Macaca fascicularis: one gene and its partners. The protein of the gene in region 1 purifies or fractionates together with the protein of each later gene. This does not show direct contact. Links are inferred from orthologs where the notes say so. Each region holds a gene or a part of one and is shown in the gene's direction. Other genes may lie near its edges.

Region 1 (3,500 bases):
ATACCATGTTACTTGGCAAGAAGGCATGCCTGGACATAATAACCCTTTCCACAGAATAAATTCTTAATTAGTTGAATTTTGTGTGAGGTTCTGGACATACACATATACTTAAAAATTTTATTAAGTTCAATTGAACTAAATATGATGCCAGTTTGGAAATTACTTAGTGTTGGCTGTCCAATTAAACTCTCATTACTAGAGGTCAATGCCATTGTACAATGAATTTTTAAAGAATTTCTTTCTAAAGCTTTGTTAGTGGATTGAGCTGTAAGTATGGGAACACTGTGTAACAAAATTCTTGCTTCTAGGTGACATCCATGGGCAATACTATGATTTGCTGCGACTTTTTGAGTACGGTGGTTTCCCGCCAGAAAGCAACTACCTGTTTCTTGGGGACTATGTGGACAGGGGAAAGCAGTCATTGGAGACGATCTGCCTCTTACTGGCCTACAAAATCAAATATCCTGAGAATTTTTTTCTTCTCAGAGGGAACCATGAATGTGCCAGCATCAACAGAATTTATGGATTTTATGATGAATGTAAGTACTTTTCTATATCTCAGGAAGTTATTGAAATTAAGATATTTATCATAAACAATTATCACGTACTTCTGTTAGGAATTGTGAGAGTTTAGATGCAGTGGTATCATCTCTCATGTTTTCTATTTCATCAACTTGTTTTTAACTTAGCTTTTTAGGGGAGGTGGGGGAACAGAGTCTCACTCTGTTAACAGCCCAGGCTGGAGTGCAGTAGCACCATCTTAACCTCATTGTAACCTCTGCCTCCCAGGCTCAAGCGATCCTCCTGCCTCAGCCTCCCAGGTAGCTAGGACTGCAGACATGCATCACCACGCTCAGCTAATTCATGTATTTTTTTGAAGAGATGGGGTTTCACCTTGTTGCCCAAGCTGATCTGAAACTCGTGGACTCAAGGAATCTGCCCACCTAGGCCACTCAAAAGTCCTGGGATTACTCGTGTGAGCCATGGCGCCCAGCCAGTTTTTTCTCTCTTGGGTAGAAAAAGAACACTGCCGCTATAATAAAATAAGGTCTTGGATTCTTTTATGATGTGATGATCAGATTAGGAAATAATGATCATGGTAGTGGTTTCTTTAAGATGTAAATTGTTGTATTCACAGATAACTTAATTCTTGGTAGAAATCTGAGAACCATTCTAAATAGTTTTAAGCAACTTTATTATGTAATTTCATTCCATAAAATTAATCTGTTGAAAGTATACAATTCAGTGATTTGTAGTAAATTTATAGTTAACGCGACCATCTCACCGTAGCCCCCAGGCAACCACTAATCTACTTTTTGTCTGCTAGAGAACATTGCATGCAAATGGAATCTTGGCAATGTGTAAATAATTAGTTTTTGAAATTATTATGGTTTTTCTCCTCTGGCATAACCGCACCCAGGAAGAATGGCAATAACTTTCCTAAAACTAAAATGTGCTGAACAAAGATTATTTTTACAGTATTTTACGCATTTTGTGACTCATTTTGGATTGTTTATTTAAAGGTGCACTTTGATTTGACTATTGACAAAACACAGTTCTTAAAGCTTTGCAAATAGGCTGGGCGCAGTGGCTCACGCCTGTAATCCCAACACTTTGGGAGGCCACGGCAGGTGGATCATGAGGTCAAGAGATCGAGACCATCCTGGCCAACATGACGAAACCCTGTCTCTACTAAAAATACAAAAATTAGCCAGGCGTGGTGTCAGATGCCTGTAGTCCCAGCTACTTGGGAGACTGAGGCAGGAGAATCGCTTGAACCCGGGAGTCGGGTTCAGTGAGTCGAGATCACACCACTGTACTCCAGCCTGGGTGGCAGAGTGAGACTCCGTATCAAAAAAAAAAAACTTTGAAAATAATCAGTTTGATAAAGGGTTTTACGTCAGAAAAGGTTTTGAATCTTTACCTTCACCTTCCTTTTGTGCTTATTTCTGCCAGGAGGGGTTTCAGGTTTGGAGTGAAGGGGTGGGGTGGTTAAGGAACTTCAGGTAGTTGGCATTTGCTAATATGATTATAGGGAGATCAGCAAAGTGTTGTCCCTGTGGCCCTCCCCTAGACCACATCCTAACTTAGAGTCTCCAGATGTGTGTTTTTCCATCTCAGTTCACATAGATGCAGTGAGCTAGCACATTTGTTAGAAGTGCATCCTAGAAAGATTATATTCACAGACTGAGCCCTTCTACTACCACCCTTTCCCACTACTGGATGTTTGCTTGGTCTGTGTCCTTGAGATCCAGCTGGTAAGATGAGGTGGCAGGAATGATCAGGGACAAAAATTCTGTGGGTTCTGGACTGACTGATACCATTGAACCTGTACAGGAAAGATATTCGATATTAACAGGGATTCTGTGTCAAAGAAGTACCAGTAAGCCAGTTACTACTCCTTAGGTAGTGAAATACAAGGCAGATGTGGTGGGTTTTTTTTGTTGTTGTTTTTTGTTTTTGAGACAGAGCCTTAAGCTGGAGTGCAGAGGTAGGATCATAGCTTACTACAACCTGTAATTTCTGGGCTCAAGCAATCCTTTCACCTCAGCCTCCCTAAGTGCTGGCATTACAGGCATGGGCCACCACACCCAGGCAACATTGTGTTTTGGATACTTATTCCAAGTGTTACTCTTGAGTTAAGAAAGGGTTCCTTTTACATAACTGTTAGCCCAGTAAATACTTTTCATGTTTGCACTGATGAATTCAAATCCATTTGACCTCATTGTTGTGACTTCTATCCTAACGTAATGATACTAGCTGCATCAGTTTCAGTTTCTACTCAATGCAGAGGCCTTTAAAATGACTTAGAAGATCAGTGTCGGTTGGTATCAGTTTCGACTCCTGTTTGATCATCAACACAGTTTATAGATCAAGCATCCTCTCTCCCATCAGGCAGATACAATTTGCCATCCAGTCTACTTGTGGGCATAAAAGTGCCCTTGACATAGGTGGCTTCTGGTTGAAGGCTTGCAGACATTTAGTATATATATTATATATATTAATTTTATTAAAATGAAAAGTTGTATTCAAATGTTGATTTTCATGGGACAATTTTAAAACCACTGCCTGTTTTCCAGGTACATAAGTACTTTATACTACCATTTCTTTTTTGTTTGTTTGTTTAAATTTTGCAAATGTGATGAAAAGGCTGAGGTATATGTTGTTGGGTAAAACAGGAGTGTTTGTTGATCCATTTCTGCTATCGGAGCTGTCTGATGTACAGTAATGGGAAACTGCATTACAGGTTATGGCTCAGAATCTTAGGATTTGGAAGCTAGACGATTTCCCTGGTTAAACCTTTTAGGACCCAGATGTTCCTAGTGGTTTGAGGTGGCCTTAGGGAGGATATGAAGAGAGAAGAGAAAGAGACAGCCCCACGCTTCAAGTGCTGAGAGGCAAAAGGAGGAAGCAAACTGATTTTTCATGGAGAGGCCAGCAGAAATCGGCAAGAGAAGAAACTGGAGTTTGTGGCATAACTAAAGAATCAAAGGCCGGGC
Region 2 (3,259 bases), on another chromosome or scaffold:
GCTCACCTTGGCTGCACTTGCAATGTCCACAGCCTCCACAATGTCAGCCTGGCATATCTTTGCTGTGTCTTCCCCATCCTCCCCTTCCAGAAACCTGAAAGCAAGGGTTAGGATAGCAGTAAAGTTTCCCAATATGAAGCAAGTGTACCAACATAAAAACGAGAAAAGACAGTCCTATAAGGCAAGGATTGGGGGTCCAGATTAGGGCCCACTCACCCCGGTTCCTCAGCAAGCAGCAGCTCAGAACGAGCAGCTTTGATACTTGTTTCCTCTTCCTCAGCTTCAGCCACCTCAAGTCGGCTTCGAGTTTTGGCTTTAGAACGTGGTAGCTATAACATTGTTGGTGGGGAGGAGTGGCAGAAGAACCATAGGATAAGTGGGGTCACAGGAGAGCTACCTAGCCCAGCCTCCATTCAACTCACTCAGACACTCCCTGCCTCCAACACTTCCCAACTCTCCGGCTGGACCTCACCTTTCGGGATTTGTCAATACGACAGAACTTCTGGACCACCTCCACAGGGACGGGGGCGGGGCCTGGGAATGGATCTTGGGCCTAGGGGAAAGGAGAACGCAGTTAGTAGACAGCCTTGGATTGACCCCAACCCTTTCAAAGCACAAGGCGCCCTGCCTCGCCACCCATTAGGTTCCACGTTCACCCCGGACAAGCTCCGCTGGGACTCCGGGTTCTTCCACTCTCGGGGTTTCTTCGGGACCTGAGGCTGCTTAGAGATCCGAGACTTCTTTAATATGTGAGCATTTTTTGGTCTCTGAGGACGGAGCTCCCGATTCTTCTTGTTACAAGGAGGCCCTGGAGAGGCTCCGTCTGTGGTCGGAACAGTCTCTTCCTCCCAGTATCGCCGCGGTTTCTACAAGCAGATCAGGAACTCTGATACTCCGCACCCACGCCCCGCCCCCCCGACCCCGCAGCAAAAAACTTCCTTTCCCACCCAGGGAGGCCGATACCTTTCTCTTGGTCTGAAGTTTGTCTTTCTTGGGCGGGACATCCCTGCCCGGCTTGGGGGCTGTCTCCATCTCGCCCATCCGAACGGCGATCCACGTGCAAAACTTCTCTCAGCTGCCCCACAGTCGGCTTGAAAACTCCCGGAAGCCCTCTATCCTTCATCCAATCAGCAGCGTACCAGGTCTGAAGCTCTCTAGGCGCCATCTTGAGTGAGGGCACGCTTTCCTTAGAGGGGCGGAAGAGCTCTTGGCACCTTATCGGGAGCGGCAGCTTATGCAAGAGTGACTTACAAAAGAAAGGCAGGCCCGGGACCAGGGGCTAAGTAGCGGTGCGGTTTCTTTTTCCGGGTTAGTTTCCCCATCTTGCCTAAAAATATCCGAGTCCAGTCTTTGTAGCAGAACTCCATTCGCTAAACATGTCAGAACTACACTTCCCATCAAGGGTCAGAAAGAAACTTCCGGCGCAGTCTTTTCCCGGCATTCCTCGTTTACTTCCGGGTTTATTACTACTGAAAGCAGAACGTGAATAGGTTGGGATTTCGGTTGAGAGGCTTACGGTCTTGCGTTTCGCCCACCATATCCTGGGGACGGGGTGGAGTCGATACCCAGGACGGGGGGGAGGTGGCGGTGCCCCTCAGGGCTGCCTCTCAAGAGTGCTATCATTTCCGCAGGCGAGATCAGAAAAGGGAGCTCAGGTACCTTCCAGAGAGTGAGACGCAGCGCCCTTGTCTCGCTCCCCGTAGGCTTTCATCCCTGCCATGGCGGAGCTGATCCAGAAGAAGCTGCAGGGAGAAGTGGAGAAATATCAACAGCTACAGAAGGGTAAGGGAGCAGGGTCGGTATGGCCTCGCCCAATGCACTCACAACCCAAAGCCATTACCGAGATAAGGTTTGTTGCCCCATCTGGGCCCTTGCGTGCAGAGACTTTCCCGCTTCAGTACTCTTCCCTATTCACTGACCCGCTGCCCCCATCTTTTTCTGCTTCCTCAGATCCATATCCACCTGACTAGGATTGATGTTTCTAATCTTGCCTTTCCTCTTATCCCCAGACTTGAGTAAATCCATGTCGGGGAGGCAGAAACTTGAAGCACAACTAACAGAAAATAATATCGTGAAAGAGGTGAGGGACTGGGATTTGTGGGGCGAGGAGGGACCTGTACTAGCCATGGTTCTGATCACGTATGTCCCATCCCTCCATCAGGAACTGGCCCTGCTGGATGGGTCCAACGTGGTCTTTAAACTTCTGGGTCCGGTGCTAGTCAAACAGGAGCTGGGGGAGGCTCGGGCCACAGTAGGGAAGAGGCTGGACTATATCACAGCTGAAATGTGAGTCTTTATTCCACCACTGTGTGCTGCACCCTGTGATGCAGTGAATCATTGGAGTAGAGGTGTTGAACCATTGCAGAACAGCTCTCCATAGTGGCCCCTAGTCCTCCAGTTCCTCCAACCCCTTCCTTCCCTTTTAACCCCCCTTCTCCCTTCCCTAATTTCAAGTTTTCCACCTATCTCTTTCTTGCGTTTAGCACCCTCCTTAGTAAGTCCTACTAATTTCTCCCTTTCTACTTGTCTCCCTTGTCTCTCTTTAGTAAGCGATATGAATCCCAGCTCCGGGATCTTGAGCGGCAGTCAGAGCAACAGAGGGAGACCCTTGCTCAGCTGCAGCAGGAGTTCCAGCGGGCCCAGGCGGCAAAGGCAGGGGCTCCTGGCAAGGCCTGACCCCTTGGTGGGGGGAGGGGAGGGGAGGGAATGAGGCAGCTCTAGCATCTATACTGTAGCTAATAAAATGTAAAAACACCTGGCTCCGTTTCCTGACCAGGCGCTTCTGTCATATCCCCACAGTCCCTTCCACCTTCACACACACCACCTGTATTACCCCCTCAGGTTCAAACTCTTGCACTTGGAACTTCTTTGTGGCACAATGTTCTTTCTTTCTTGAAAGTGAAATCCTAAATGTCCTCAAACCTACTTCTTGCCTGTATATACAACCCTTAACTTTCCCTCATCTTGGTTGGCATGATTATTTTGGAAGGGCATTTACAACATAGCGTATTACTAGGAATGTCAGTTCAATTGAAAAAGAATTCACGGTTCTCTAACCTGAGGCCCCAGGATGAAATGTGGTTACCCTCTTTGCCAGCAGCCCTGGCATCTCTATTGGTACTTTTCAGCCTCTGTCTTCCTAGAATTTGCTTGAATGTAGCTTAAACTGACTTAAAATCCCAGCACGTAATGCTTTGTAGTGTATAAGTCCTCCCAAGTTTATATGTTGTCCATAAAGTTGTTCTGCCATTTCCTTGTC
Region 3 (3,500 bases), on another chromosome or scaffold:
TTTCTTCTATATTAAACTTCCTACATTAATAATGCTGCTTTTTTATTATGGGGGAATTTCTAAACTTCCAAAAACATAAGAACATATAGGTAATAAGTATTTTTTCTACCACCATTAGAACCATTAGCTTATCATATTTTGGTTTAAACATAAGTGTGGCTCTCATAGGTTAAGAAATTCCTTCTGATAGCATAATATGAGCCATAGTATCTTGGTCCTTTAACAACACTACGTAACATTCCTATCTCAGATCCTTGATGATGGACAGTCTCCCAAACACAGTCAGTGTCAGAATCGGGCCGTTCAGGAATGGAGTGTGCAGCAGGTTTCTCACTGGTTAATGAGCCTAAATCTGGAGCAGTATGTATCTGAATTCAGTGCCCAAAACATCACTGGAGAGCAGCTCCTGCAGTTGGATGGAAATAAACTTAAGGTAAAGAATTATATGTCTGTGTTAGGTTACCAGGTATAACTTGTATTACTCAAAGCACCTAAAATGTTTTCATTAGATAAGAGCACTCTGCATATCTGAGAGGTAATTCTCATCAACATTCAGCAGAAAGGATGTTGAATTCTTTCTGAGTAGTAAATGAAGTTTCAGAAAGTCCATCAGGGGTTCTAAATTAAATGGTAGGCTGCTGATTAGGAAAGCGAGGGACCCACTCCATTGCTTCCACCTGGCAACACATGGTCCATATATTAACTCTCCTTCCTTCTGATGTAGTGTGAGTTTTAATCATGGCCACTGTGGACTTTTTCATCACGTTAGAATTAAGACCCAGATCCACGACTCTTCTTTTCCTTGTTCATTTCTCCTTCACCTCCACTCTTCCTTACACACCACTCCCAAACTGGGATGATGTTTTCCCCAGAAGTTTTTTTCTCCAAGTATGTACACACATCTTCCCTCCCCTCCATGGCACTTTCATTTCCACTTGTCCAGTCCATCCCCCTTAGAGACCAAGGTGGCATCCATTCCTTTGGGAAAGGGAGAAAGGAGCTTACAGCCAACTCCATGTAACCCCAAGCTCCATGCCCCCGCCTCAGCCCCCTGCTGGGCTGACGGGCAGATGAGTATCTCTTGACAGTCTTGAAAAGGTTAGAGATCAATCAATAGCTTGTGAATATGAAGGCCCCATTGACAAGGCTGTCCCTGTTGGGGAGATAGATAGATGCATCCTGCTGTTGATTCTGAAGGTCACGAAACATTTAAAGTACATAAGCAACTCCCCTTATTCTGAATTCTAAGTTCATCGAGCAACCTCCTCATTATAATCAAGCTTCCTTTATAGGTCTACCTACAGGGAAAGAATGGTTAGTCATGCTGACACGAGCATTCTGGCCCCAAAGACACTTTTGGTTCTCATTGTAATGAAAACATTGGCAGAAAGGAAGCTGTTTCAATTCTTCTTGCCCTTCTTGGAGCCCTCTGTGACAGCAGGTGTTCACTCCTATGCTTTGAAAATATTGATGAGTTTAGCAATACCTTTACCTATAAATGTCTACAGCCTAAAGGTCGGAGAAGTAGAATTGTGCCTTTTTTCCATTCATTCACCCATTAATTACTAATTTGGAAAGCATTTAATTAATGAGCTTTAGGGTATACTTTGCAAGGGACTTCAAAGAACAAAAGAAAAAGGGTAGCCCCCAGTGTGTTAATTTTTAACAAACGTAACTAGCTCTTCCTCTTTTCTTATCTCTTTTATGTTTGAATTAGTTTACAAACTTGAACATATGGTATATTAACATCATCAGAGGGCTCACTGGTTTTCAAATTCAGTTTGTGTGTGTGTTTCCTTCTTAGGCTCTTGGAATGACAGCATCCCAGGACCGAGCAGTGGTCAAAAAGAAACTCAAGGAAATGAAGATGTCTCTAGAGAAGGCTCGGAAGGCCCAAGAGAAAATGGAAAAACAAAGAGAAAAGCTAAGGAGAAAGGAACAAGAGCAAATGCAGAGGAAGTCCAAAAAGACAGAAAAGATGACGTCAACTGCAGCCGACGGTGCTGGTGAGCAGTAACACATACCCTCTTACTGAAGATGGAGATTATCCAAGAGAAGTCCCCACCTCTTCCTGCCCTGCTCTCCTCCAGAGGATGAAGAAGAAACTAAATGATAAGGGTAATGCGGCTCTAGGCCGGCTGAGGAACCGTGTGTTGAATAACTGCATTTTCTGCAATAGAAGGCACTCTTAATTTTAACTACTGACATAGTCCCAAGCCACCTTTGATTTATTAACAAACCAGACATTTCATTTAAGTAGCTGTGTTTTGCTCTTCTCTAACTTAGCAACATCTTGTGTTGTGTTGGGTGTGTTTTGTCACTTGGAGAACTAGCTTGACCCCACCCAACAAGAGCATGATACACCCTGGTGTTGTTGATGGAGCACTGTGAATTTTCAGTTTGGGATCCTGAAATGGCAATTGCACTTGTCTGCATGGCAGAGAGCACCCTGCCATGAGATCTGGACCAGTACTTACTTCTAGGGCTGCAAAACCTACTCCAGTGTGTGGGAAAGATTCACTCTTAATTCTGAGTCTGGACAGTAAGACCACCCTGCTGTGGAAACATGGATGCTCTGCTCCATAGTTACCTACTAAGGGAAAAGGCAAGCAAGCCATTCTGCTTGCTAGGCATCAAAAAGAAAGAAAAGAAATTATAGCTATTTGTTAACCACTGAAAAAAGCAAAAGCCTTAAGATTGTGTATGTGAGTATTACCTTAGGTTCTGAGAGTAATATTTATCCTCTAGATATAGCTGAACACGAAAGAAAAAAAATCAGACATTAATGCAGCCATGGGATATTGGGATCTGTTGACCTTGCTACTGTTGTGTGTTCAGCATCTCAGCAACACTGGCAAACACAACACAGTTCCCCTTCCCCCCACCCAACCCAAGAAATTGAACAGGAAATTGATTTTTAAGGAAACCACCATTTTCAGGTTTCCTCTCCTGGGGAACATTCTGGCTGGTCTTCAGCCTGTCTATGTCACAATCAGGAACTCATCACATAGTTTCTACTCAAGATTTCCCAGGTGGGCTCAGTTAGTGTTTTAACAAATGTACTTTTAAGAAAAGTAGAAATACCAGTTTGAGGAAATTTAGATTTGAATAATATTCAACTGGAGAACCAATTTTTTTTTTTAGTACAAAGAATGTTCCTATAAAGAAGAACTGTCAGTTAACATTTTAGGGAGATTTTGAATGGTTTTTCTGAGCCATTCCTTTCCATACTTTAAAGATTTCCAATTTTACGGAAAAAGTTTGTTTAAGGCAGTGCATAGGATACACTTTAGTAGTGGAGGAACTTATACTAATTTTAAGCCAGTATTAAGGATTTCTGTATTTCACCAAACTAAGTCCTAAGTGCAGGAGACTGGGGCAGAAGAAGGAGAAAATAAACTCATTTTGAGAAATTTCGTGTGATGAGGGTTTTTTGGGTTTTTGTAGTTTATGCTCATGTATCTGGTTCTCTTTGCTGCATTGACTCTAAACTGAGGTTA
Region 4 (3,500 bases), on another chromosome or scaffold:
AGAATTGGTTACTCTAAGGCTGAGAATTCCAGTACTTTTAATGCTGTATACTTGATTTTCTTACCCAATTCCTTTGCTTTCAGGTTTCAAGTTCTTCACATTTCAAATTCTGGAGGAAAAATTATCAATACTTTACTTACATAGTTTATCCTCTGCATATTATTGAAACATTTTCTTAATAATGTTTTGAGATTTTATTGTGTTAGTTTTGACCAGTACTTCAATTAATATTTATCAATTTAAATTATCATTTCCTCTTTTGATGTAGTATCATCTGCTATGTTAAATAATATAAATTAAATTTCTTTGTAGTATTTACTAATGAACTTATGCCATATGATGCCATATGGCATCAACTGCCTCTAAATACCACTCATTTTCTAAGTTTTTAATGATGTACCATTAATAAGTAGGATCTTTCAGCCAGGTAGACTCTTCAATATCATTTTCCTCATATTCCTCTTTTGTTAATGTGTGTTCCACATTCCATGGGGTCAGAGGCATTTTTGCTTTTTTAATTTATGTCACCAAAGAAAATTGTTATTTGATTGAAAGTATTTATTTAAATCTTGTTAAAGCAAAAAACATATAGCAAATATAACCCCAATTTAAAATCAATCTGTCTATATCTATTTCTGATTCGTTTATACTATGTTCTTTATATAATTCAACGTGAATTTGTTGCCTTTTAGATACAATATTAGAAACAATTTGAGAAACTTAAAATCTACTTGGGGAAATAAAACAGCAAAAGTACACAAGTAATGACAACATAATGCTTAATATGAATGTCACTGGGGTTTCACGTGCCATGAGTATTTGAAAAAAGACATTAAGAAAATTAGAAAAGGTTTTGTGAAGGAGAGCTGAAATGGGCCTTTGAAATACAGATGACATTTTCATTGATGAGAGTAGGAGTATCATAAAAGTAATTCATACAGCTGACATAACTCAGAAGGAAATCCATAAAATAGTATTACTTTAAAGAAATTTCAGGGAGGTAAAATTTCTGAAAAGTTTTGTCCCTAGTCATCAGACTTTGTATGTGCATGTCTGTCTGTCTCTCCTCTGTCATTTGTTTGTTTTTTGTTTTGTGTTTTTGGAGGGGATGGGGTAATAAAGGACCATAAGGAGATACAACACTGTGGGAAGAAACAAAAATCTTGGGGAAAAGGAAATACTGATAAAATCATTGCCAAACACTTAAGAATAATATCTTCTAGTGATGGAAGATATGATTCTTCCATCACTAGAAGATATTCACAAAGCATGTGAATGTGCTTTCCATACATTATTTAATCCTTCAAATGACTCTGTGGTGATTTTTTTATAGACATTTGAAGATGTGGTAACTAAGGCTGAGAGAAATTAAATAATTTGCCCAAGATCACACAGTAAGTGCCTAAGTTAGGATTTAAATTCAGTCCTTTTAGATTACCAAACACTTTTATGATTCATATTTCTAGCAAATCTGGTACAAATATGAATGTTACTGAATGTGAGAGGGTAGGGGGAAAAAAATTAGAAGTCTTTCATTTTGTTTTATTTGTGTATATTTTAAAAGTTGACTAAGATAATTTTTAAAGAATTAATGTTGCCCCAATGCCCTGTTCTTCTTGGAGGTAGTTTTAATATCATTTATGTGTCTAAAAGGAGCATTTTAATCTATTTTGTTTTTGTTTTGGGTTTTTTTTAAAAAACAACCCAGAGATTATGGTAATGCCAATTATAATTGAATAGCCACAGGATCATTAAGGAACGTTGTTGAGTTATCCAAAGATGTCAAAAGTCGGAAAAAATTCTATACAATACTGAAATATTTTACTACTTTTTAAAATTCCATTTCAAGAACAAATATAGTTTTATTTCATTTTGAAATAAACTATCCAGCCAATATCTAGAATGTATAATTTGGTAATATTACTTTCTAAATGGTATATAAACCATATAAAATTTATGGTCTTGTATTGTTCAGAAACTTGTTTTCCTAAACAGGTTGAAATATATATGTTTGGTAGACTTTTAAATAGAATACTTCTGAAGTTGTTTTATGTGCTTGGAGTTTGAAAACTTGAATAGCTGAATGAAATTATTTTATGAGATCTGATGAAAGAAGCTGACATTAGTGTGAACATCTTCAGGAATTCTTAAAAGAATTGCACATGAATTTTAGGTTTAAATTTGAAAATGGTTTGTTACCTAAAACAGATTTTGACACTGTTGAATAGTTAACTGAAAATAATCAAGTAATTATTATAACTTAAAGTTATTCTAATAGATGTGGCGTTTTGGTTAGTTCCATAAAATGAGATGTGGTAAGTTTATCTCAGAAAGGAATCATCTGAAGCAGCAGCTTTTCTCATGAAAAGCCTTTACCACTCAATTTTAAGTTAATGTTCTATACATAACTTCTAGTTGTAGTTAAGAGGTTATTCCTAGTGTTATACTTTGTAACAAGCCTGTTATTATGTAGTTGGCCTTGGCAGAATTGTATGAAGATGAAGTGAAGTGCAAATCTTCCAAGTCTAACAGACCTAAAGCTGCAGTCTTCAAGAGCCCACGGACACCACCTCAACGGTAAGTTTTATTTTGTTTTGTTGTAAAAAGAAATTACAATTCTTTCTAAAATTTTACTAACTTCAAATTGTTTTAAATGGCCTTTTTCAAGGTTTCTTCAGTAATTTTTAAAAATTATTCCAAGGGCAAGGCAGATTTGGATAAAAAAGAAAAGATTAATATCATTTAGTTACTATTTTAAGAACTTTTACAATCAGAAAGCTAAAAGAAACTTATGGAAAAATTACCTTAAAATATCTAATATTTTGGTACATATCATATGAAATTATATCCTGAATACTATTTTTGTTGGGCACAGTGGTTCTTTAATATTTTTTGAGTTGTAGGACTCACTAACGGTCTGATGAAAGCTGTAGAATTCTCCTCTCAAAACAACTTTCATGTGCAAGTTTGTCATTCATTTTTAAGAGTCTGTGTGTTTCTTGAAGCCACTTGAAGCCACTCCATGGAGCCTCTGCAGGTCTTTTGTCCTCCATTTAAGAATCTATGATTTTTGAAGTCTGTCTTTTCCTCCTTTGGGTGATGATTCCTCCAGTGTGTGACATCCTAAATAGTATTTGTTGTTATTAAAATCCCTGAAGTATAAAAACAGCCAACTATGAAGATTTAAGAGATGAGAATCAGGTGTATTTTATTGCTGTGAGTTTTCTTGTTGCCAGGAATATTTTCATTTACATCTTTTTAGTACTGTAAGTATCATCCCTGGGGAAGAAATGTCAGTTTTCCCATTATATCTTATTTTCAGAAAGTCCATTTTGTAAGTTTTCAATTCATCAAAAATCAAGACTAGTAAATACTGTGTTTACTTCACCTGTATTCATCAAGTTGTTAAAATGTTACATTGAACTTGTGTACACATGTATTCTCTCTCTTTTTTACTCAACTATTTGAAAGGAAATTGTAGCCATCATGACACTTTACCT
Region 5 (3,500 bases), about 100 Mb from region 1:
GTTTATGAGGAAAAACAAACTGTGTGTAATAAAAATGTCTATGCAAAAGTTCACTTCGGGGTAAAAGGTATAACTATTCAACAGCATAAACATGTATTTTTATGGGTATGTTATAGGAAAGGAGAATAGCCATATTAAGAAAAACATTGATGTTGTATTTTATAAATCTGTTTAAATATCTACCTTTGAAGCCCTTTTATAGTATCTTACATGAACCAGGATCATATTTATAACCCAGGTACACTCAAGAGTGGAATCATGAAACATATTGTATCTATAATGTGTATGTTTATTATTAAAAAATTCAGGCTAGGCGCGGTGGCTCACGCCTGTAATCCTAGCACTTTGGGAGGCCGCAGCAGGCAGATCACAAGGTCAGGAGATCGAGACCATCCTGGCTACCAGGGTGAAACCCCGTCTGTACTAAAAATACAAAAAATTAGCCAGGCGTGGTGGTGGGCACCTGTAGTCCCAGCTACTTGGGAGGCTGAGGCAGGAGAATGGCTTGAACCCAGGAGATGGAGCTTGCAGTAAACCGAGATCGTGCCACTACACTCCAACCCGGGCAACAGAGTGAGGCTCCGTGTCAAAAAAAAAAAAATTCAAATAGGACATTTGTCAAGAAAATTTTAAGCATCGTTAATAGGTACTGACAGTGCAAAATGCACACCAATTCTATCAAACCTCAGCAGTTTTGGAGCTTCTTTTGGGATTGTTTTTGTAGCCTACAACAGAATATTTATATAATACTATGTAATACTAATGTTAATATTGATAATGACAAATTTTTCTCCTGCTGTGTCTTAAGAATTGTGGTTGCAAACACAAAAAAGCTAGTTAAAAATAATAGAGCTGGTAATGAAAGATTATTATACAGGACTGTTAGGTAGGAACTAGTACTGGAAAGTAGAAAGCCATTAGAGCCACGGCAGCTCCACTTTTTTCTGGGTCTATGTGGTCTCTTGCCTTCTTTTTCTTTTATTCTGCCGACAGATTTTTTTTTTTTTCTTTTTTCTTTTATCTTTTTTTTTGAGACAATCTCACTCTTGTCACCCAGGTTGGAGTGCAGTGGCACAATATCAACTCACTGCAACCTTCATCTCCTGGGGGTCAAGCGATTCTCCTGCCTCAGTCTCCCACGTAGCTGGAATTACAGGCACCCACCACCATGCACGGCTAATTTTTGTATTTTTAGTAGAGACGGGGTTTGACCATGTTGACCAGGCTGGTTTCGAACTTCTGACCACAGGTGATCTGCCCACCTTGGCCTCCCAAAGTGCTGGGAATAGAGGCATGAGCCACAGCACCCAACCACATTTTTCTTATATATTCTCATCAATACACATGTTCTGAAAATGACCATCCCAACTCTGAGTTGATATTCACTCAGCTAATATTTATTGAGTTTTTACTATACACACGGCATTTTTTCTAGGCACTAAGGATACAGGGTAAACAAAACTAAAGTCCTGTTCACATGGAACTATTCTGCTCCTAAAATGTTTACTAACTAAAAATACTCCTATCCAACGTCCAATGGATAGCCTTAGTCAATTAAGAAGTTCTTTTTAGGCCGGGCACGGTGGCTCATGCCTGTAATCCCAGCACTTTGGGAGGCTGAGGTGGGTGGATCACCTGAGGTGAGGAGTTCGAGACAGCCTGACCAACATGGAGAAACCCCGTCTCTACTGAAAATACAAAATTAGCCGGGCGTGGGTGCACATGCCCGTAATCCCAGCTACTCGGGAGGCTGAGGCAGGATAATCACTTGAACCTGGGAGGCAGAGTTTGCGGTGAGCTGAGATCGCACCAGCTTGGGCAACAAGAGCAAAACTCCGTCTCAAAAAAAAAAAAAAAGTTCTTTTTAGTCTTAGCTTGCTAAGAGTTTTTTTTTTTTTTTAATCATAAGTATTTTTTTATATCTGTTGGGATGTAACTTTTTTTTTGTTCTTTGTAAGTTCTTTATTGTAGTGAACTACATTGCTGGCTTTTAGAACACTTGGATTCAACTTGCTTATATATTTTTTTCCTTTTTGTAAATTTTAATTTTGATAGTTTTGGGGGAACAGGTTGTGTTTGGTTACATGGATAAGTTCTTTAATGGTGATTTCTGAGATTTTGATGCATCCCTCACCCAAGTAGGGTATACACTGTATCCAGTCTGTAGTCTCCTTTCCCTCACTCCCCTCCCACCCTTCCCCACTGAGTCCCCAAAGTCCATGGTATCATATCTTAGCTCCCACTTACAAGTGAGAGCATACAGTATTTGGTTTTTCATTCCTGAGTTACTTCACTTAGAGTAATGGCCTCCAACTCCATCCAAGTTGCTATAAAGGCCATTATTTTGTTCCATTTTATGGCTGAGTAGTATTCCATGGTGGATGTATACCATTCTTTAACCATTGGTTGGTTGATGACATTTAGATTGGTTTCATATTTTTGCAATTGCAAATTGTGCTGCTATAAACATGTATAACTTGCTTATATTTTATGTTGGCCAATAGATGAGTTTTGGTATCAGGTTTAAGCTAACTTCATGAGTTGGGTAACATTTCATCTTTTCCTATGCTCTTTATCAGGAAATTTCTGTAACTTAATGTTTGGCTGAATTTCCTCCTAAAATTATTTGTAGCCTTTAAGGAGTAGATCTTCAACTACCATTTAAGTTTTGTATATTCTGGGCTTATCACCTCTTTGACCAACTTTAATAATTTATATTTTCTAGAACATTGTTTTTATCTGGGTGTTCATATCATTAATATAGCTGTCTCATCCTGCACCTCTGCCAAGTAGTGGGTAGCAGTCATATCTAGTACTTTATACTATTATATAGTAAACATTTACTGAATTTTGTTGATCCCAATCTACTCTACTCCCTTCTTTGACCCCTTAGGTCTGAGTGTACGGTTTGCAGATATGCCTGGAAAATCAAGGAAGAAAAAGAAGAACATGAAGGAACTGACTCCTCTTCAAGCCATGATGCTTCGTATGGCAGGTAAGACAGGGAAAAAATAGTGAATCACCTTTTGGTGTATCCTCACGCTAATTGCTTTACATACATTTTTCCATTTAGTATCTCAGCAACCTTCAAGTAAGTAAGAAGTCCTTGTTTTACAAAAATAAGATTTGGAACCATCATATAGGCTGCCTGAAGTTACATAGCAAGTAAATGGTTGGGCTGGCATTTAAATATTGGTCTGTCTTGTTTTAAAGCCTGAGTTCATTCCACTATGCTACACTAATACAGATGAGTATAGAATAGTATTTCTTTCACATCTAAGTATTTTATTGAAGAAGACTATTTGGTTTTTAATTTTAAGAACACATTTATTAACCATGTGTATTCAGTCATTGCTGTTCTCCAAACTGTAAAAAAGTGAATCAACTCCATTTACTGAGTTTAAAATTTCTTTCAGGTCAAGAAATCCCTGAGGAGGGACGGGAAGTAGAGGAATTTTCAGAGGACGATGATGAAGATGATTCTGATGACTCTGAAGCAG
Region 6 (4,289 bases), on another chromosome or scaffold:
GTCACCACCTGCAAGAGGGGACCAGAGGCCAGTGGGCAGGGGCTGGGGTGAAGGGTACCCCTCCCCTACAGCACCTCTTCTCTTTGACCTCACCTGTGCTTTGAGGCCTCCTGATTCCTCCCTGCTGGAGCCCAGAGTTCCAGAGGCAGCCTGAGCAGGGCAGGCTTCCAGGCAGGCCAGGGCACCCCAGCAGAGGCACCCGATGAGAGGGGGAGGGCTGGGGAGGGCAGCCTGGGGCAGGAGGGCTTGGGGGACGGGCTCACCTCCACACTGCCAGTCTGGGATCGTAGCATGCGGCCCACCCACGAGGAGCGGGCCAGCTGCAGGAGGCAGGACTTCTGCAAGTTCTGTAGCTCGGCCTCCACCTCCTGCAGCGTGCGGGTGGTCTGCAACAGCCGCTCCTCCAGGTGCTCCTTCTCCTGCTCCGGGAGGGCCCGTGGGTGGTGGTGGGGGGGGTCTTCTGCAGAAGGCCCCCAGGCCAGCCGCAGCCTGGCTCCCCAACACCAGGACCCTGCCCACTCCCTGTGCCCCCGCCTCACCCACTGGGCTCGCTCTTTCTGTTCCTTCAACTCCAGGGTCAGCTTCTGGACCTGGTTCTGCAGGAACTTCTCCTGACTGTGGGAGCTCCTGGAGGAGGGGCGACCTCAGCAGCCCTCACCCCGCTCAGGCAGGGGGTTCCTAATGTCAGGTCAGGGGCTCCACTGCCACCTCGGCCCCAAGGGCACACAGTACAGCCCCACTGGGGCCAGCCAGCCTCTGGCTGGTCTGGGCAGGAGTCTAGCACCCATCCACATGCGCAGGGTTAGGGTTGAGGCTATAGCGTGTTAACTTAGGATCAGGGTGGAGGGTCAGCATGGGTGAGGATGAGGGTAAGGATCTGACTCAGTGGTTGGGATTGGGGTCAGACAGAAACCAGGAGTCTGGGCGAGGACAGGGCAGGGTTGGGTTGGTTGGGGACTGTGCTGCAGACCTCTTGGGTGAAATCCCTGCCACTTCCTCCAGGATGTGGCAGAGCCGGGTGTCCTTGCCATTCTGGACGGCCCACCGCAAGGCCTGGATCTCCAGTTCTCGCTGCTTCCACAGCAGCCGCAGTGTGCGAGGGTCCAGGGACTCAAGAGCCAACCTGCAGCAGCAGCAGCAACAGCAGCCCCTGCTGCTTACTCAGGCTGGGCCCCTGGCCACCTGGCCCAGGAGGCTCACCACTCCTCCCTCCCCTCCTTACTGCAGGTCAGCAGAGCAGGCCGCCCGTGTGGGGTGGGGCGTGGTGTCTGGCAGGCATGTGGGGGTCTCGGGGGCTGCAGGTGCGCCTGCTGGAGGTCCCCGGTGACCACTGACAGACTCTCGCTCTGTGGGGGACAGGAGAGCCTCTTCCTCGGCTTCTTCAACCCCCTGGCCAGACTTGGGGGCCATTCTCAATGTTCTTCAGGAGCGGAGGGGTGGGGGTCCCAAGCTGGCTATGTGTGCCTCATGTGGCCACACAGGTTGGAGCAGCCCAGGCGGCACCACTGCTCACAGAGCGTCGCTCTCTGAAGAGACTCACATGTGGATGTCCACACCCGTGTGTTTCTGACCAGGATGGGGCAGCAGGTCACCACCTGACATGTCCCTGGTATGTCCCCCTGCCACCCAGGTGCTGGCCCTTTGCCTGTGATGTGGTGTCCCTCTTTCTCTCTCTTGTACCCCCAGTTCAGGGCTCTACCCCCAGCACTCACCTGAGGCCAGACCTCCAAGCAGGCCTGGCGGGGAAGGGTTCTATACCGTTGCCATGGACACCAGCACCCAGAAAGGGAGGGGCTGTTTGTTACCAGGAGCCTCCAGGGAGACCCCAGACCAGGCCCCTGGGTGAGTTCTGGGCTGGGCCAGCCCAGCTTGGAGGTGTGAGAGGCTGAGCCACTGCTCAGCTTAGCGGGGGGACCACTTAGTGGCCAGCACCCTGAGGGAGGCCCCAGCATCCCCTACCTAGCCTGGCAGCACCTGCGGGATAAATATGGGGGCACTACTGCCTGTGGGCCAGCCCAGCATAGCCATGGGTGTGTGGGGGAAGCAGACAGGTAACAGTGACAAGCTGGGGACTGTGCTGAACGCTAACTGGGAATAGTATGCCCCTGCCCACAGCCTCTTTTTAAATTAATAATTAATTTTTTAGAGACAGGGTCTTGCTCTGGTGCCCAGGCTGAGGTGCCTTGGTGTGATCACAGCTCACGGTAACCTCGAATTCCTGGGCTTAAGTGATCTTCCCACTTCCATCTCTTGAATTGCTGAGACTACAGGCACCTGCCTCCACCACCAGGCCCAGCCCACAGCTCCTTTGACCTCAGTGACAGGCCCTCACCTACCTGAACCCCCAAACTGAAGCCTCACCTTTCCCAGCCATCTCCACACACTCTGGGCTACCCTCAGGGGACCCTGTGGGCATTCTCATTACCATGGCACGTATTCCCTCTGCTCCAGGACAAAAACGAGGTCCCAGACCTGACCCACAAGACCCAAGCATTCCAGCCTTCACCCTCCACCTCGCCCTCACTCATTCACTCTTCACCTCTGCAACTTTCGACTATGTAAGGGCTCCCTAGCGGAGCACAGGAGACAGCCGGGCAGGAGACCCCTCCACGCCCATAACTCGTTCTGAGCTGGGCGGAACTGGCAATCAATGCTCCACAATGGCAATCAATGACCGCGAGGCTGCGGGGCCCTGGGCGGGACAGTAGGGTAGGGGGTGGAGGAGCTGCTTCCAGCCAGCTTCACTGTGCGTAAGGCCTGGCACTGGGTCCAAAAGCGGCAGGAAGGTGTAGGAGAAGAGCCTCAGCCAGAGTCCGGGCCTTCCCCTGAGCGGGCACCTCCCGCACCAGGGCTCGGCGCCCGCCAGCTCCGCAGAGTTCTACCTCCCTTGCCGCGACTGGTGATCCTGCGACCCCGCGACCCCTGCGCGTCCAGGCTACTGCCGCTGCGGTGGGCTCCAAAGGCTGGCCCGGGAAGCGAGGGGAGGGGCTGGCCCCTCTGCCCCTCAACGCAGGCGGGGGTTGCGGGATCCCAGGCCAGAGACCCTCCCTGGGCGGGAACCCGCCACACACTAGAAGGCTGCTGACGAAGTCGGCCCAGGAGCAGGGTCGGACACCTGTCTCGACGCGCAGCCCGCGGGTAGCAGCCGCCGCGTTTCCGCGTTGTTAGCCGGGTGGAGGTGGGGGCGGGGACCGCGGCTCGGCCCGTCCCTCCGACCCGCCCACACCTGGAGTCTCTGGGGGCGGGGCGCTGCGGCAGGCCAATGGATCGGGGAGGGGCGTGACAGAGACAGCCAATGGGCGCGGGGAAGGGGGCGGAACACCCGCGCTGAGCAGCCAATAGAGGCGCTGGGGGCGGGGCGTGCGGGCCGCGGGCCAATGGGGGCGCGGGTCCGGGGCGCGCCGCGGCGCTGGGGGCGGCAGGTTGCGGCGGCGCCTGAGCGGGTACAGAGGCTGGCGAGCGCCCAGGTGAGCCGCGCGGGGTCCCGGGGCCTCTCGAGTGCGGGGCGCTCCTCTAGCCGGCAGGGCGCCGACTCCAACTGGGGAGAGTTTTCCGCGATGCCGGGACGGAGGGCGGGGGCGGTGCCGCACCTGCGCCCTCCCTGCGGAGCGGGGACGCCCTGGCTCCCGCCAGGCTGGGGTCGCGGCGCGGGCATCCCTGCCTGCCGCGGGGACCGGGACCTTCGGGGCGAGTGCAGCGATTGGGCGGCAGCGGCGGGGCTCCCCGCGCTGGCTGGGGCTGCTCAGACCCGGAGTCCGCTCGATCTGCAGGGTCGAGGTCTTGGTCGCGACCCCGAGCGCCTCTGCGGCCTGAGCAGGTCCGGGTGGGGCGTTCCCATGGCGGCGGCCGCGGGGCCTGGCGTGCGGGCGCCTCCGCGCCGCCCGGGGAGGGGGCAGTGCCCTCCGAGCCAGGTGAGGCGGGCAGGAAATCCTGGATCTGGTTAATGATTCTCCTTGTTCCGGGAGTGCGGGCGTGGCAAGAGTAGGCTGGTGAAGTGGGGGAGGATGCGTGCTCCGGAGGGCCGCCACCCTAGGAATGTGTGGCCGGCGGGTGGGGCTGGCACAGGAGGGTTGGGCCCATGCGGAGGGGTCGCAGCCCAGCCGTTTCTAGGGCAGGCCAGGAGAAGGAAGAGACGAGGACCAGGCTTCGATAGGGGTAGGTAGGTCCTGACCCTGTGGCCTGTACCCTCCCCACAGAACAGGGATGTTGTTGGGGCTGGCGGCCATGGAGCTGAAGGTGTGGGTGGATGGCATCCAGCGTGTGGTCTGTGGGGTCTCGGAGCAGACCAC
Region 7 (4,261 bases), on another chromosome or scaffold:
GCTCCCTAAGCACAAGGATTTTATCTACCTTACCCTCTACTCTCCACAAAACCAAGTGTATAGAAAACACTCTTTAAACGCTTACTACACAAGTCACTGAATACATCTTTTGGCTAAAGTCCACTACCCACTTGAGGTACTGCCAATCATCTCTAAACCAACATTTTTCCCTAAGCTTGGTTATCTTAATCATCTAATTAATATGATTCTTCTTAAATTTTCATAGTATTAGGATCTATATTGGAGGGGAAGGAATAAGAATGAACATTTGTTGGGTATCCATTATTTGACAGACTTTATGCCTTTATTTCTAATTTCATACAGTCTTATAAAGTGGGAATTGGAATAACCCACTTTGCCTGTGAGTAAAGTTCTAGTTACACCCACTGAGAATCCCTATTTCTTTCCTTCACAGCGTTTATCTCAGTTTGCAATCACACACTCAAGTGTGATTATTTGCCTAATGCTATCTTTCACTAGACTGTAATCTCCAAGGTAGCAGAGAAGGGTCTGCATTTGCTCAGAATAGTGCCTAACAAGCAGGCATATAATAAGTATAGGGCTACCTAGTAGGTATGTAATAAACATTCAGTGAATAAATGAGTGGAGTGAACATGGGGGTAGATGTCAAAGAAATCTGGCTTCTTGTAGTGTTTAAATTCCCCAGGCACCATTTTTTCTTAGCAGGCAATAGTCACAAGGAGAAAAACTAGACCCCATGGAGTTTGAGGCGTTTCCAACACTAATAAAAGAGTACCTGATTCATATAGCTACGGCTGTGATTAATAGAGTGCATTTACTATTGTGTGAGCAAATCCCATTCCCTGTGATGAAATGAACAATACAACATTTTACAGGCTTCACGGTCAACAGTTACATTCTGGGAAATTTTTGACGTTTGAACGAATATTCCAAGAACAAATAACTCAAGAAGAACCTGTGACTATATCTCCAGAAACCTTTTGCCGCTTGTCAGTGAAACTAGTAAGAGTACAGAGCCTATTTAAATACAAATTTAAATACAACATTTTCTCTACCTTTCTGCTCTCTTTGTTCCTTGTGATCCGGAGGTTACAGGACTATATATATATATATATATATTCTCCAATACACGGGTGTACAGGGATTTGGGGTTTTTGTTTTCAGTTTTATGCAAGACTAAATCAAGGTATTTGGGGATTTGAATGTTCTGTTCCCACAGTTAGGGAGGAAGGAATGTGCTCCGAAAACAGAAGGAAAGTACTCTGGGGCGGGGGCTGGGGGGACCACCATGGGGCCCATCCTCAGCCTAGGACGCTGTTGCTAGGCAACTCCTTGCGTTCTCAACTCCCGCCCGAGAGCCACTTCCCGGCCCTCATTGCCAAGGAGATCGACGCCCCAACTCAGCCCTGCCGTAAACACGTGCGGTCTTGCGACAGTGCCGCGCCTGCCGCTACGTGCGCGTCCTCTGCCCCCATCTCCACTCTCCGCCCGGCCGCCATTGCCTCGTGCCCGCGCCGGTCGGTTGGTGGCGCCTTTGTCCTACGGCGGGCAGGTGGGCCGACGCGGAGGCGGCAGCGGCGGGCCTGAGGCGAAGGAGCGGCCGGGAGCCCGCCGCGCTGGTAGCGGTGAGTGCCGGGAAGCGGTGGCCGTCAGCCGAGACGTGGGTCTGACGGACAGGCGGTTGGGCGGGGGGCCTGGCCGGACGGGGAGGCTGAGGCGGGAAGGCCCACTCGACGCGCGGCCACGGCCTCGGCTCCTCTCCGGGTGCGCGCGGTGCTGCGCATGCCCGGTGCGGGGCGCGGCCTTCTCCGGTTCCCGTCAGGCCCAGGCCCGGCCGGCCGAGGCGGCCTGTGGTTTTCTGTGGTGGACGCAGGTCGGCGGCGTCGCATCGCAGCCGCCTGTCTGTGCACGAACGGTCGGTCACTAGGAGTCCTCAAGGCTTCTCTGTCTGGTTGAGCCGCACGCCCCGCACCCCCTTGTCGAAACAGTGGAGTCGCTCGCCCGCGGGTCCTCAGCGAGTCAGTGGCGCAGTCGGGATTCGAACCGGCCGCAAGGCGGTCCGTGGCACCGGGCGTTCTCCAGGCGTGCAGCGCCGAGCGGTGTACGGAGCGCTGTCCCCCGTCACCGCCTCGCGGCTCCTGACCGCATTCTCGGGGTGTCTCCTTGTCGTGTGACACCTCACGCGTTTTGTAGGCGCGAACCTCGGGCCCAGAGAACGGGGAAAGGAACTGTGCCCGGGTTTACCACGTAGCTCAGCGCCAGAGTCCGATCCGGCCGGCTTTCCAGGCTCCCGGCGCGGGGCACTATCCGCTTCCCGCCAGCGGGCGAGGGGCTTTTCTTAGGACGGCGTTGCCCACGTTTCAGTCTCGCGTTGCACCTTTATGTCCGTGGACCATCTGTACCGCTATTCACCAAATGTTACATTTTTTTAAAAATTCAAACTGACACTTTTTTTCTCCTTAAATATATTTAAGGCGGCAACTTCAATCACAAACCGGGTACTGGAAAGCCAGTTATTTTTCTAATGTTTATAAAAAATAAATATCTGTCTGTTGAAATAAACAGTGCGTCCTTGTTCCTCCTGAAATTATTCTGCGTTCCACACTTTGGGAAACGCTGCCCGAGGAGTGTCTGATTAATTGTGGTTATTCTGCCTTGCACCCCGTGCACAAAATTTTTCCCTGAGGCAAAGCAGATTCTCTGAATGCCCTGTAACAGCTTTCTTATTGTAAACTATTCTCATTGTTGACTTAAAAGTGTTAGTCCCAGGGAACTGCAAGAACTGTCACTCAAGTGCACCCGGTGTGCCTCAGTTACAGCGTTGTGATGTCATAGCCCCCTGATGGATGGCTCATAAAAAGATGTTTCTACAAATGGTGGGGAAGTTTTTGTGAGTTTTGACAACTCTTAATTTAATGTTTTCTCTATGAGTCAGTCTGGGTGTGAAAACTAACTTGGTGTCGACTTTTTGCAACCAGTTAAGCCCATGCTTTGCATTGTGGATATTAAAAAATCACTTGACTATTTGTTAACATCTATTTCTTCCTTTACTGTAATTTCTTTGCCTTTCCTTGAGCTCATCTGTCACTCTTCAGATGGCCTTTGAAACCTCTGACACATCTTTTAACCTAAAACTTAGAAACACCGGTTTTCCTTGTAGAATATACAATATGTAACGAATCCATATTGCAGGGCTCATTAGAAGTTTTTCTAGATTCAGTTTGCTCAATGTTGCATACCTGTGAACACCACAAGTTTAAAGGAGGCATTGACAGATTAACTTATTTGTAAGTTAGTAGTGTGTTCATAAGATCTGTTTATGTGAATGTAAGAGCAGATTTAATTTAATTCATTGACAGGAAAGTCGGATCAGTCAGTTCAGGCTTATTCAAGTTTTCTTCCCCTCCCCTCGAAGGCTGCGTAAAAATACGTGTGTGTGTGTGTGTGTATATATGTATATGTGTGTATATGTGTGTGTATATGTGTGTGTGTGTGTATATATATGTATCTCCCCCTGTTAAAAACATGTTTCTTTGGGGTTACCTTGGTATGATCACAATGTAGAATTTACGTAAGGCTAAGGTCATTTTCTTCACATTTCTGAGAATTTGATTTAAGCCCGGCGTCCGTTTCAGAACTTCAGCAAATGGAAACTCATCTACCAGTGCTTGAGAGCTAAGAAAAAACAACTTGTTTGTTTTGTTTTTGTTTTTTTGAGATGGAGCTTTGCTCTTGTTGCCCAGGCTGGAGTGCAATGGCGCGATCTTGGCCCCCGGGTTCAAGCAATTCTCCTGCATCAGTCTCCTAAGTAGCTGGAATTACAGGCGTGCGCCACCACGCCCGTCTAATTTTGTATTTTTAGTAGAAACGGGGTTTCTCCATGTTGGTCAGGCTGGTGTCAAACTCACGACCTCGGGTGATCCGCCCGCCTCTGCCTCCGAAAGTGCTGGGATTACAGGTGTGAGCCACCGCGTCCAGCCAGAATAAACAACTTTTGGAAAGACTTTAGAAGTATGATGAAAAAATATTTAATGGTTTGAAACTTCATTTTAAATAATCGTTACAAGCAGTCCGTGTTTATGACCTGCAGATGGCAGTGCCTTTGTGTAATGTTCTACTTCTGTGAGGATTAATAAAATTTAGTTGTGCTTTTAAGAATGGAAAATCTTCACAGGAAATATATTAAACTTTTTCTTCCCTTCAGTTTACATTGTTCTTTTGGTTTTGACTTCCCACATGAAGAATGAAACGTCTATTCCTGAAGTCACTGTTACTCTTA

What was found.
Region 2: the proteins of PPP1CC (region 1) and PFDN6 purify together in Homo sapiens (affinity purification with mass spectrometry; 4 studies listed by BioGRID and IntAct, with this or other methods). This does not show direct contact. The link is inferred for Macaca fascicularis from reciprocal best matches to the Homo sapiens genes PPP1CC and PFDN6.
Region 3: the proteins of PPP1CC (region 1) and PPP1R9A purify together in Homo sapiens (affinity purification with mass spectrometry; 6 studies listed by BioGRID and IntAct, counting the BioPlex papers as one, with this or other methods). This does not show direct contact. The link is inferred for Macaca fascicularis from reciprocal best matches to the Homo sapiens genes PPP1CC and PPP1R9A.
Region 4: the proteins of PPP1CC (region 1) and UBXN2B purify together in Homo sapiens (affinity purification with mass spectrometry; 3 studies listed by BioGRID and IntAct, with this or other methods). This does not show direct contact. The link is inferred for Macaca fascicularis from reciprocal best matches to the Homo sapiens genes PPP1CC and UBXN2B.
Region 5: the proteins of PPP1CC (region 1) and WBP11 purify together in Homo sapiens (affinity purification with mass spectrometry; 4 studies listed by BioGRID and IntAct, counting the BioPlex papers as one, with this or other methods). This does not show direct contact. The link is inferred for Macaca fascicularis from reciprocal best matches to the Homo sapiens genes PPP1CC and WBP11.
Region 6: the proteins of PPP1CC (region 1) and RASSF7 purify together in Homo sapiens (affinity purification with mass spectrometry; 4 studies listed by BioGRID and IntAct, counting the BioPlex papers as one, with this or other methods). This does not show direct contact. The link is inferred for Macaca fascicularis from reciprocal best matches to the Homo sapiens genes PPP1CC and RASSF7.
Region 7: the proteins of PPP1CC (region 1) and NCOA5 purify together in Homo sapiens (affinity purification with mass spectrometry; 3 studies listed by BioGRID and IntAct, with this or other methods). This does not show direct contact. The link is inferred for Macaca fascicularis from reciprocal best matches to the Homo sapiens genes PPP1CC and NCOA5.

The regions. Positions count from the first base shown.
Region 1 is NC_088385.1:117,610,167-117,613,666, reverse strand, and holds part of PPP1CC (serine/threonine-protein phosphatase PP1-gamma catalytic subunit), read left to right. Parts: intron 1-308; coding exon 309-539; intron 540-3,500. UniProt on the Homo sapiens protein: Protein phosphatase that associates with over 200 regulatory proteins to form highly specific holoenzymes which dephosphorylate hundreds of biological targets.
Region 2 is NC_088378.1:138,412,978-138,416,236, reverse strand, and holds PFDN6 (prefoldin subunit 6), read left to right. Parts: upstream 1-1,458; 5' UTR 1,459-1,490; exon of another isoform or gene 1,491-1,631; 5' UTR 1,632-1,718; coding exon 1,719-1,782; intron 1,783-2,009; coding exon 2,010-2,080; intron 2,081-2,161; coding exon 2,162-2,286; intron 2,287-2,546; coding exon 2,547-2,676; 3' UTR 2,677-2,759; downstream 2,760-3,259. Other genes in the region: WDR46 (WD repeat-containing protein 46), read right to left, coding at 7-94, 217-329, 473-553, 657-866, 964-1,041. UniProt on the Homo sapiens protein: Binds specifically to cytosolic chaperonin (c-CPN) and transfers target proteins to it. Binds to nascent polypeptide chain and promotes folding in an environment in which there are many competing pathways for nonnative proteins.
Region 3 is NC_088377.1:126,051,346-126,054,845, reverse strand, and holds part of PPP1R9A (neurabin-1), read left to right. Parts: intron 1-250; coding exon 251-433; intron 434-1,804; coding exon 1,805-2,017; 3' UTR 2,018-3,500. UniProt on the Homo sapiens protein: Binds to actin filaments (F-actin) and shows cross-linking activity. Binds along the sides of the F-actin. May be involved in neurite formation. Inhibits protein phosphatase 1-alpha activity.
Region 4 is NC_088382.1:68,400,521-68,404,020, forward strand, and holds part of UBXN2B (UBX domain-containing protein 2B), read left to right. Parts: intron 1-2,473; coding exon 2,474-2,577; intron 2,578-3,500. UniProt on the Homo sapiens protein: Adapter protein required for Golgi and endoplasmic reticulum biogenesis. Involved in Golgi and endoplasmic reticulum maintenance during interphase and in their reassembly at the end of mitosis.
Region 5 is NC_088385.1:17,569,815-17,573,314, reverse strand, and holds part of WBP11 (WW domain-binding protein 11), read left to right. Parts: intron 1-2,893; coding exon 2,894-2,995; intron 2,996-3,416; coding exon 3,417-3,500. UniProt on the Homo sapiens protein: Activates pre-mRNA splicing. May inhibit PP1 phosphatase activity.
Region 6 is NC_088388.1:454,470-458,758, forward strand, and holds the start of RASSF7 (ras association domain-containing protein 7), read left to right. Parts: upstream 1-1,489; 5' UTR 1,490-1,609; intron 1,610-3,420; exon of another isoform or gene 3,421-3,911; intron 3,912-4,196; 5' UTR 4,197-4,203; coding exon 4,204-4,289. Other genes in the region: LMNTD2 (lamin tail domain-containing protein 2), read right to left, coding at 1-8, 264-627, 971-1,123, 1,223-1,410. UniProt on the Homo sapiens protein: Negatively regulates stress-induced JNK activation and apoptosis by promoting MAP2K7 phosphorylation and inhibiting its ability to activate JNK.
Region 7 is NC_088384.1:102,138,004-102,142,264, reverse strand, and holds the start of NCOA5 (nuclear receptor coactivator 5), read left to right. Parts: upstream 1-1,461; 5' UTR 1,462-1,607; intron 1,608-4,261. UniProt on the Homo sapiens protein: Nuclear receptor coregulator that can have both coactivator and corepressor functions.